3 linked regions of the Cricetulus griseus genome follow. The protein of the gene in region 1 purifies or fractionates together with the protein of each later gene. This does not show direct contact. Links are inferred from orthologs where the notes say so. Each region holds a gene or a part of one and is shown in the gene's direction. Other genes may lie near its edges. The genes, in order: Cttn, Flna and Asap1.

The links.
Region 2: the proteins of Cttn (region 1) and Flna purify together in Homo sapiens (affinity purification with mass spectrometry; 3 studies listed by BioGRID and IntAct, with this or other methods). This does not show direct contact. The link is inferred for Cricetulus griseus from reciprocal best matches to the Homo sapiens genes CTTN and FLNA.
Region 3: the proteins of Cttn (region 1) and Asap1 purify together in Homo sapiens (affinity purification with western blotting; 6 studies listed by BioGRID and IntAct, with this or other methods). This does not show direct contact. The link is inferred for Cricetulus griseus from reciprocal best matches to the Homo sapiens genes CTTN and ASAP1.

What each region holds. Positions count from the first base shown.
Region 1 is NC_048596.1:56,922,563-56,926,211, forward strand, and holds part of Cttn (src substrate cortactin), read left to right. Parts: intron 1-65; coding exon 66-155; intron 156-1,213; coding exon 1,214-1,391; intron 1,392-3,287; coding exon 3,288-3,359; intron 3,360-3,649.
Region 2 is NC_048604.1:1,487,988-1,490,687, forward strand, and holds the end of Flna (filamin-A), read left to right. Parts: intron 1-73; coding exon 74-292; intron 293-378; coding exon 379-582; intron 583-1,588; coding exon 1,589-1,776; 3' UTR 1,777-2,091; downstream 2,092-2,700. UniProt on the Homo sapiens protein: Promotes orthogonal branching of actin filaments and links actin filaments to membrane glycoproteins. Anchors various transmembrane proteins to the actin cytoskeleton and serves as a scaffold for a wide range of cytoplasmic signaling proteins.
Region 3 is NC_048603.1:23,764,683-23,768,774, forward strand, and holds the start of Asap1 (arf-GAP with SH3 domain, ANK repeat and PH domain-containing protein 1), read left to right. Parts: upstream 1-1,165; 5' UTR 1,166-1,288; intron 1,289-4,092. UniProt on the Homo sapiens protein: Possesses phosphatidylinositol 4,5-bisphosphate-dependent GTPase-activating protein activity for ARF1 (ADP ribosylation factor 1) and ARF5 and a lesser activity towards ARF6.

The sequences.
Region 1 (3,649 bases):
CAAAGTGGCAGATGTGACTTCCTGGCTGACTGGGTAACCATGTGTTTGCTGTCCTTCTATCACAGGAGCAAGCCAGAGCCAAGAAGCAGACGCCCCCTGCATCTCCTAGTTCTCAGCCAGCTGAAGACAGACCACCCTCCAGCCCCATCTACGAGGTGGGTAGTCACTTGACCAGTTGGCTGCCCTAGACTCCTGCAGACTTAACCACCCCCCTTCTGTCTTTTTGGAGCAAGGTGTCCCCCCAGGTTAGATGTCTTCACCTTTGGGCAGCCCATGGCACCATGGTCTTCCTCTCCCTGTAACTTCTGAGAGGTCAGTAGATGCCACATGCTTAGTGTGTCGCACTAACTGTGCTCCCTCTGCAACCTACTGTCCTTTGGCCCTGAGACAGTGTTCTCTCTTCGTCCCTGGAGCATCTTGTTCTCTGGTCCCTATGGCCTCCTCACACTAAACTCTGTGGAGTCCTTGCCTCATCCCTGCCTAGCATCTCCCACCCTCTGCCCTCAGGAACCCCTCACTGAAGTAAGCCCCTTTGCCCACAATCACATCCCATGGGTCCCAGACAGTCCTCACATACTGCCCTTCTGTCATGTAGATAACATTGCTCATGGGTCCTGGGAGAGCTAGGACACAAGCTGTGACTGGGGGCTTAGGGTACCATGGCCTCTTCACCACCAGGATTCTCTCTCCCTGACACCATTGTTACTTGCTCTGCATGGCAGGGAGCCTTCCCGTGCAAGACTTCTTGGTGGATGTGGCCTTGTAGCTAGTGACCCGAAAACAGAGTGACCATGAGGCATTCCCACATAGGTGCTGCGGCACTGGCTCTTTGATGTTCTTGGGCATGGACAGGCCTTGTGACTGGCAGCTCAGCTGGGACCAGAAGCTGAGGGAAGAACCTGAGATGCTGTGATGGGAAGTTGGGGCAGGGCTCAGTGTGGAGCCACCACACCAGGAACTGGCTGTTCGCCTTGTAGTCTCCTCTGGCTACCATCATCTTGCCAAATGGGACCAGTCTTGGAACTGAGTGATCTCCTTGGACTGTGGCAGTGTGCCCTGTGTGGTCACCTCCACAGGAAAGCTTCCTGTCCCCACTCCCTGTGCATAAAATTTCTATTCTTGCCTTGATTTGTCTGACTATGGAGGTCACTTGTGAGTGGACCTCTTCTGGCTCTGGTGACAGCATGAGAAATGTCTGTTTGTCTCTCCTCAGGATGCAGCGCCGTTCAAGGCGGAGCCAAGCTACCGAAGTCCTGTTGGTGGAAGTGAGCCTGAGCCTGTGTACAGCACAGAGGCTGCAGGTGTCCTTGAGGCCAGCAGCCAGCAAAACTTAGCTTACACCTCAGAACCTGTCTACGAGACCACAGAAGCCCCTGGCCACTACCAAGCAGGTACTAGACCCCACTCTAGCTATGTCCAGGGGATGAGGGTTTCTGAGAAGTCCTTTCCTCCATTGTGCTCCTCAGAAAGGGTTGGCTTGCTAGCTGATAGTCTAGGAATGTGAGTTCTGTGGCACCCTGGATCGGGGAGGGTTAGACACAGTGGTTCCTACGAGGGCAGTGCTCCTATCGTGTGGTCCTGGGAAGGTTTGTGCTGTGCTGCATGAATGATTAAGGCTGCAGTGGGGAGGGATCTACTGGCCTGAGGAGTCCTCCCATGGAGGACTCTGCCTATCACCCAGCCACTTCAAAGGTTCCATCTCCCCATGCTTTGAAGGTGAACTAGTGCTTCAGCTGACAGTGAAGAAGCTAATTTGTTTACTTTGGAAACGAAGTTCCAGTGAGGCACTAGACAGGGGCAGTGTGGGGATGGGAGCAGAAGACTTTAGTTGCTCTCAGCCTCACTGTCCCAGGGCAACCTTTGGTGCCAAGGTTCCATTACTCTGGCCTCTTGCTTTAGTGGCATCAGACTTTTTTATTTTTTTCAGTGTCTTAGTCAGTATTCTTTTGCTGTGAAGAGATACTATGACCAAAGAAGTTCTCATAAAAGAAGACATTTAATTGGGGCTTTGCTTGCAGTTCCCAGAGGTTTACTTTATTGTCGTCATGGCAGGAACCATGGCAGACATGGTGCTGGAGAAATAGTTGAGAGCTACACCCTGATCTTCAGGCAGGGGGTCCGGGGTGCAACACTGGGGCTTTGCTTGGGCTTTTGAAACCTCAAAGCCCACCCCCAATGACACACTTCCTCCTAGTCCTTCTAATCCTTTCAAATAGTGCCACTCCCTGGTAACTAAGCATTCAAATACACGATTCTGTGGGGACCTTTTTTTTTTTTTTTTTTTTAAGATTTTATTTATTTATTATGTATACAGTCTTCTGCCTGCATGCCAGCAGAGGGCACCAGATCTCATTCAACATGGTTGTGAGCCATCATGTGGTTGCTGGGAATTGAACTCAGGACCTCTGGAAGAACAGTCAGTGCTCTTAACCTCTGAGCCATCTCTCCAGCCCTGTGGGGGCCATTCTTATTCAAACCACCACAGTCTCATTCAGTCAGTAGCCCTGGCTGACTTAGAATTCACAGTATAGCTCGAACTGGCCTTGAACGTGGGGTGATCCTCCTGCCTCTGCCTCACGTGTTGGGATTGCAGCCGCCATCATGCTAGGTTTGGAAAAGGGTCATCTTGGTACTTGTTACGTGTTCATGTGGCTATACTTCCCTGTATGTGTCAGAGCTCAGTGTCTAAGCTTTGCTGTTGAAAGCCAAGAGTCCTGTCTTAAGTCAGGATTTCTACTACTATGATGAAACACCATGAGCAAATCAAGTTGGGGAGGAAACAGTTTATTCGGCTTACACTTCCACATCACTGTTTATCACTAAAGGAAGCCAGGACAGGAACTCAAACAGGGCTGTAACCTGGAGGCAGGAGCTAATGCAGAGGCCATGGAGGAGTGCTGCTTCCTGGCTTGTTCCTCATGGCTTGCTCAGTCTGTCTTCTTATAGAGCCCAGGACTACCAGCCCAGGGTTGGCACACCACCCACAGTGGGCTGGACCCTCCCCCATTAGTCACCAAGAAAATACCTTACAGCCAGATTTTATGTAGGCATTTTCTTAATTGGGGTTCCTTTCTTTCAGATGACTGTAACATGTATTAAGCTGACATAAACTAGCCAGGACAAGTCCTTTTGTTTCTAGGAGGTTTCTTACTCTTCCATCCCAGCACCTGCCACATAGGAACCCAGCTGTTGTCATGAGGTCTTTTTTCGAAAGCTCTCCCATCTATCCTTGGGAAGTATGTTTGGGGTGGCTGGCATGTTGCTCAGCAGTTCTGCTTTGCTTACAGAGGATGATACCTACGATGGATATGAAAGTGACCTGGGCATCACAGCCATCGCTCTGTATGACTACCAAGCTGGTGAGGCACTAACTGTGGGCTGAGGGCACAAATGTTCCTGCCCTGGGTCAGGTTCTCAGCCACTCCCTTTCCTAGACCAATTCAGGGCAGGAATGCAAGGCTGTTTAATGTTTGCTTTTGAGCAGGGTTTGTGTTACCCAGTCTGACCTTGAACTCTCAGGCTTAAACAGTCTTCCTACGTCAATATTCCAGTGGCTGACACATTAGGTGCACATTACTGAGCTTGGGTACAGTTTCTACAGTTTATCTTGAAGTGACTTTAGAGCAGTTATCTGGATGGTACCAAGGAT
Region 2 (2,700 bases), on another chromosome or scaffold:
TCAAGGCTGTGCTGGGTGGCTGAAGACAGGAGAGCCAGTGACATACACTCTGCCTGACCTTCCATGCTCCCAGGGAGCCCAGCTGAGTTTATCGTCAACACAAGCAATGCAGGAGCTGGTGCCCTTTCCGTTACCATTGATGGCCCCTCCAAGGTGAAGATGGATTGCCAGGAGTGCCCTGAGGGCTACCGTGTCACCTATACCCCTATGGCACCCGGAAGCTACCTCATCTCCATCAAGTATGGTGGGCCCTATCACATTGGGGGAAGCCCCTTCAAAGCCAAGGTCACAGGTGAGCCCCAGGCTAAGCTGTTGGTGCCCATTCAATGCCTTGATATTCTCTAGCTACTTCTCAGTTTCACCTATTCTGTCCTGCAGGTCCCCGTCTTGTTAGTAACCACAGTCTTCATGAGACAACATCTGTATTTGTGGACTCCCTGACAAAAGTTGCCACTGTTCCCCAGCTTGCAACCTCAGGCCCAAGTCCCACTGATGTCAGCAAGGTAGTAGCCAAAGGCCTGGGGCTGAGCAAGGCCTATGTAGGCCAGAAGAGCAGCTTCACAGTAGACTGCAGCAAAGCAGGTAAGTATCCCTGTTTCTAGCTCTGGAAGTACAAAGTCAGAAATCACAAGACAGTCAACATGTGGAAAGTACAGGAACTTAGGGGTATGATTGTTGCTTTGGGGGCTACTTTATATTTGGGCTTCCTGGAGAAGTAGCTTAGTGGTTAAGAGTACTGGTTGCTCTTCCAGAGGACCTGGGTTTTGTGGGTTTTTTTTTGTTATTTTGTTTTTTTTTTTGAGACAGGGTGGAGCCTATATGGCACTCACTCTGTAGACCAGGCTGGTCTCAAACTCAGAGATCCACCTGCCTCCTCTGCCTCCTGAGTGCTGGGACTAAAGGCATGTGCCACCACTGCCCAGTTTATATAATCAGTCTTTCTTTCTTTCTTTCTTTCTTTCTTTCTTTCTTTCTTTCTTTCCTTCCTTCCTTCCTTCCTTCCTTCCTTCCTTCCTTTCTTTCTTCCTTTCTTCCTTTCTTTTTTGAAGACTCAGGTTCAAGTCCAAGCACCCATCTATATGGCAGTTCACAACTATCTATAACTCCAGTTTCAGGGAATCCAACACCCTCACACAGACATACATGTAGGCAAAACACCAATGCATGTAAAATGCATTGCCAGTTGGTGGTGGCACACCCCTTTAATCCCAACACATGGGAGGCAGATCTCTGAGTTCAAGGCAAGCCTGGTCTACAGAGCTAGTTCCAAGACAGTCAAGGCACAGTGAAACCCTGTCTAAAAGACGTACGTGTGTGTGTGTGTGTGTGTGTGTGTGTGTGTGTGTGTGTGTGTGTGTGTGTCTGTCTGTCTGTCTGTCTGTCTGTCTGTCTGTGTCTGTGAAGAAAATGTCCTGGAAGACCTGGGATTTGTCTTCTGGTGGCCTAGGTGGGGTATGAGAAGCTTGTTGGGAAGGGGTATTGTTCTAAACAGGCAAGGAACAGGATGTAGAATAGGAAGAAGGGCTCAGAGCAATTACAGCTGAAGGAAGGGGTTAAGGCTAGTCACTGAGGCCTATTCCTACCTCAGGTAACAACATGCTGCTGGTGGGGGTGCATGGCCCAAGGACACCCTGTGAAGAGATCCTGGTGAAACACATGGGCAGCCGTCTCTACAGTGTCTCCTACCTGCTCAAGGACAAAGGGGAGTACACACTGGTGGTCAAGTGGGGTGATGAGCATATCCCAGGCAGCCCATACCGCATTATGGTGCCCTGAGCCTGACAACTATGCCAGCCAGAATCTCCCATAGCAAAGAGCAACCTCACACCTGTCCCACCCCCAAGAAGTCCATTTTCCTTTCCTGAGCCCTGGGCCCTCCCTTAGATCACTCTGGCCACTCTGTCACTGCAGTCTCCCCTGCCCTGCGCTGTGCTCACCTGCCTCTCTGGGCTTTCACTTGGGTAAAGGGAGCCATTTGGTGGCAGCGCCTGACTCCTTTGGTTCTGGGAGGGTGGGAGTTCTATGTACAACCACTTGCTAGTTCTCTTTCCCAGACAAGAGGAATAAAATTTTGCTTCCATTGTCCTGTGAGTGTCTGTATCTTTCATGGAAAGAGTGATGAAGTCCAAACTGGCAAGGGTACCAACAAGGCATAGGTATAGGCTGTGGGATCTCCAGGTAGCACAGTCTGTATTTGCTCTTTGTTTCACAGAGATGGGTATATGATGTACCTAGAATGGCATAGGATCAAGTAGGCAAAATGTGGGGCATTAAGATTAATTGCTAGCTAGTTGGTGATCGCTAGCAGTGATGATCAGGTAAACTGTCTTAGAAATAGCATCAAGGCCTAGCCGTCTCTTAGATACCATGAACATAATAATACCAGCTCTTAGTGTTTGGCTTTTGAGGTGGGTTTGAGGTGCTTTGGCTGTCCTGAACTCACTCTGGAAACCAGGCTGGCCTCCAACTCAGAGATCCATCTGCCTCTGCTTCTGCCTCCTGAGTGCTAGAATTAAAGGTGTGCCCTACCACTGCTTGGCTTATTTTGATATTTTGGAGACAGGGTCTCACTATGTAACCTTGGCTGGCTTGGAACTCATTATGTAGACTAGGCTGGTCTCAAACGCACAAAATAAGGCACCATTACAAAGATTCTCCCTCTTACAACAGAGTGTATATACTTCTTCATCAATGAAGGAG
Region 3 (4,092 bases), on another chromosome or scaffold:
TATCCACACGTGGGTCCTTCCTGTAAGTCCGGGTTTCAAAGGAATCTGAAACACTTTAAGCAAAACCACCAAACTGCAGCTTCCAGGTTAAAAAAAAAAAAATGTGGCATTTCCTTGGGAAACCACAATGAATCACTCCAATGGCCGCCCAGACTTCCAGGCTGCTTTTCCTAAACCTCCTGGAGCATCTCAAGGCTTATTAACACGCCCTCCCCTGAACCATCCCCAACCCCCGCCATCCTCAGGTTAAGAACAAAATCTCAAATTTTTGTGAGGCCTAGTGAGTTTCAGATTTCACCAGAAGGGGGTCCGCACAGCCGCTGACCTTTTCTTCAGACAGCAGTTTCTGGAAGACTCAAAGAAAAGCAAGCAAAGCAATCACCCAGTGATGGGGTGGACGGGACAGGGACAACGGACTGATGTCTGAAAGGTCAGACCTGTCCCCAGCGGTGTAAGTCTACATAGACACACACAACACACATCCCACAGGGCAGCGGCCTTTTTCCGCCGAGGTCTTGAGACTGCAAATAATAAGGCCAAGCATGGCTATCGTTGGTATTCCCAACTTGCCAGTGTAAGCATCTGGTTTTCAGATTAAGTCTACAAACACTCCTTTTTGGTTTTTCATTCGAGAAACTGAGGCCCAAGGAGTATCATTTGCAGGAGAAAGGAAAAGGCCATTCCCCAACCTGGGTTCAGACATGGAAATCCATACGCTCGCCAGATCATCCCTGTGCTATTCTGACCCAAAAGGTTCTGCCTCCAGGCACTGGGCAAAAAGAGAGGGATCGACTGGAAAGAACCCGTGAAAGTGGACGGGGAGACGTCAGGAGAGGTTGCAAGGCCATCCTGGCCGGGAGTGGGGGGGAGGCTACGGTCCTCTCCGGGTGTCCCCGCTTTAGCGGCAGACGGGCCTCACCCCTGCCCTCTGTGGCCAAGGACGAGGCCCACCCCACGCACCCCCTGCGGTGTCCTACTGGGGCGACCCGCAGGGTACCGGCGGGCCAAGGGTTAAGCGCGGCGGGAGCCCCCGGCGCGGGGCAGGCGCGGGCCGGGAGTGCTTAGTCAGGATTCCGATTTCCTGCCGAAGTGTTTGGATTTCCTGCAGCCCGCGCCCGCCGCCGCCGCCGCCGCCGCGCCGAGCGGGATCGAGCGAGCGGCTCGCGTCGCCGGCCTCCTCCCCCTCGGCACATGGTCGCCCGCCCCTTCCTGCGCCGCGCTCGGCTCCCGCTCGCCCGGCCCCGCCGCGCCCGCGATGGAATAATGCCCAGCGGCCCGCCCGGTCCCGGTGAGTGGCAAGGCGGCGGGGCGGCGGGGCGGGCGCGGCGGGGCCACCCGCACCCCTGCGGGCTCCGGGTGTCCCTGTCATCCCGGAGAGCAGCAGCCCGGGGTCTTGGGGGCGTGTGGGGCGCGCGGCCGGTTCTGCGGGGCTGTGGCCAGGCCGCCCCGGGGCTCCGCATCCGCAGCGCTGGGGTGCGCGTTCCCCTGCTCTGCGGAGGCGACCCGGGTTGCGGTGGGGGGGGGCGGGCAGGATGCGCCCCGGGCGCAATGCTCCCCCGTTCCCGGACGAGGCGCGGACAGCCGCCCGGGCGCTCTCCCCATCCGAGGGGGCGCTGTCCCCGTCCTTGGGGGCGCTTTCTCCGTCTTCCTGAGCACTCTCCCCTGAAGCTGGGGCTCACTCCTCCTCCTCCCGGGTGCTCTCCCGGTTCTCCGGGGCGCTCTCCTTCTCCTCCCGGGCACTTTCCCGGTTCTCCCGGGCGCTCTCCCCGCGCCGATTGAAGGCGCCGGCACCCGCCGCCGCATTGTCTCCGGCGCAGTGGAGGAAAGTTCCCCTCGGCGCGGGACCCGGCCTGGACATGGCGCTGCCAGGCAGGCCCCAGACCACTTAGTTAACCCAAAAGAAAACCAAGGGGGTGGGGGGTTGGTAATTCCTCCTGGGAGCTGAGAAGTGCCTTGTGTCTTCCGTTTGTACCATTTGGGGACCTGATGATTTTTTTAGGAGTGTCACAGTAAGTTTAAAAGAAAAAAAGAAACTCGCTGGTATCTGCTTTTCTGCTGTTTGATTCATCCCGAGAAGGCGGGTCTTTTTTCTATCACGGAGAGAGGCTTAGCCAAGTCTAGACCATCATCAACTTGACCATAGCCTTAGCTGTACGATTCCAAAACACCAGTTTGTTTTTCTCCATCTACTCCATCAGGTTGTCTTAGAGAACTGATTCTGGGATAGCGGTGGTGCAGGATTGCTGAGTAATGTTTTCAGATTGCAAAACACAGAATTTAATTTTTTTTAAAGCCAGTTTTCGTGTCTGTTCTAACCTGAGTGGTCAGGTTGGGAGCTCCCCGCCCCCGCCACCCGCCCCGGCCCCCGTTCCCGCACCCCCCCCCCGTGCAGGGCCATTGCGAAGGGGTGGGGGTGGGGGTGGGAGGTGGGAGTTGGGGGTGGGAATCCTGTAAGGGAAGAAAAGAGAGCGCAAAAAACCATAGAAGAACTGTTTCCACTTTTTGTTAACGTGGAATGGAAGCGGTTCAAACAGGTTACCTGTCTTGTCAAAGGGCACATGACCACTTGGTGGCCTAGCCAGAAACAGCTAGCTTCCAATTCGCTAAACTCTGGGGCCAGGCTGCTCTCTCTGCCTGTGTCGGGTTATGGCCTGTCAGCCAGGAACCAGATGTGGAATTGTGTCTTTCAATCCCTCGCCACTTTAGCGCCTTCTCTTGTTCGCTTATCTGCAATTGCCGCTGTTTTTGAGATATGAAGTTATCTGAAAGAACTTATTTTGTGATAAGGCGTTTTTAAATTACCCTATTTAAAAAATGCATAATTATTTTTAGTACCTTGCATGCTGGCTTAAAAGAAAAAACAAAAAATTAAAATATGACCCAACTTCTTCTATTCACTGACCCAAGTGCATTTGGGATTCAACTATCAAACGGATTTGAAATATACAATTGTAGTTATGAGATGGGGGATTGCTTTTCTCTACTTTCTCCTTATGGTTGAAGATGTACAAACTCCCAAGACTCCAAAGGGGCAGTGTCTTGACACAGAATGGTCTGTGAGATTCTCAGAAGGTCTTGGTTTTGAGTCCTCCTCTTTCTGTGAGCTGGGCAGCCCACCTACCTTCCTCCTCATGAAAGCTGGGTGGCTGCTGGCTTTTCATTTTTAGTACGTGATAATGTTGGAGAGAAAGGACTTGCTCACAAGCTTGCCATTTGGTGAAGGAAATTGAAATTCCTTACACCTCTCCCACTCACAGCAAGCCAGGTTTCCAAAAAACCAATGCAAGCCCGGCAGGCCCAGAGATGAATGTGTGCATTCAAGCTGAGCCCTCCTGGTCCAGACCCTCCTCCCAGCTGGCTGCTCATGTTGTATCCAGGTGGCTGTGGTCTAGAGGAAAAAGAGAGCTGGCCTCCTACCTGTGCTGTTCGTGTTTCTTCCCTGCAGTGGACTCTGCTTTTTGATGAGCTCTTTCTGACACCCCCCCTTCATTTTCACCTCCCCCATTCTTTCCTCTCTGTGGCGTCTCTCACACGGTTTCCAGGGGTCTTTTCTAGAAGTCTGCACTAATGATTCCTACACAGGCGATGCTGACAGTGATATCTAGTACTTGTTGAGCACTTGTGGTATGCTCTAGACTCTTTACCTCCTAAGAAGGACCAAGGAAGTGTTGGGGAGACGGCTTAGCTGGAAAGAGTGTTTGATGTACAAGTATAAAGACCTGAGTTCAAATGCCCGGAAGTCTTGTAAAAAGCCAGGTGCCCTGACTCAGCACCGCAATCGCTTGAGCTTGCTGACACGTACCGGCCTGGCTCTAAATACAGTGAGAGACCGTGTCTAACCCCCAGTGTTCACTCATGGGTATGAGTGAACACACACACACACACACACACACACACACACACACACACACACACACACACACACACACACACACACACACACACGAGTGTTCCCCCAAAGAGGGGACTCCTTGGGAGCCTTTCCCAGAAAGGACAGCCTTTCTCAAATTCATCTGTATTGAGTCATTCTTTCTTGTATCCAGTAAACATTTGCTAAGTGGCTCCGTGGTGGGAGGTACCCATCAGGCAAAG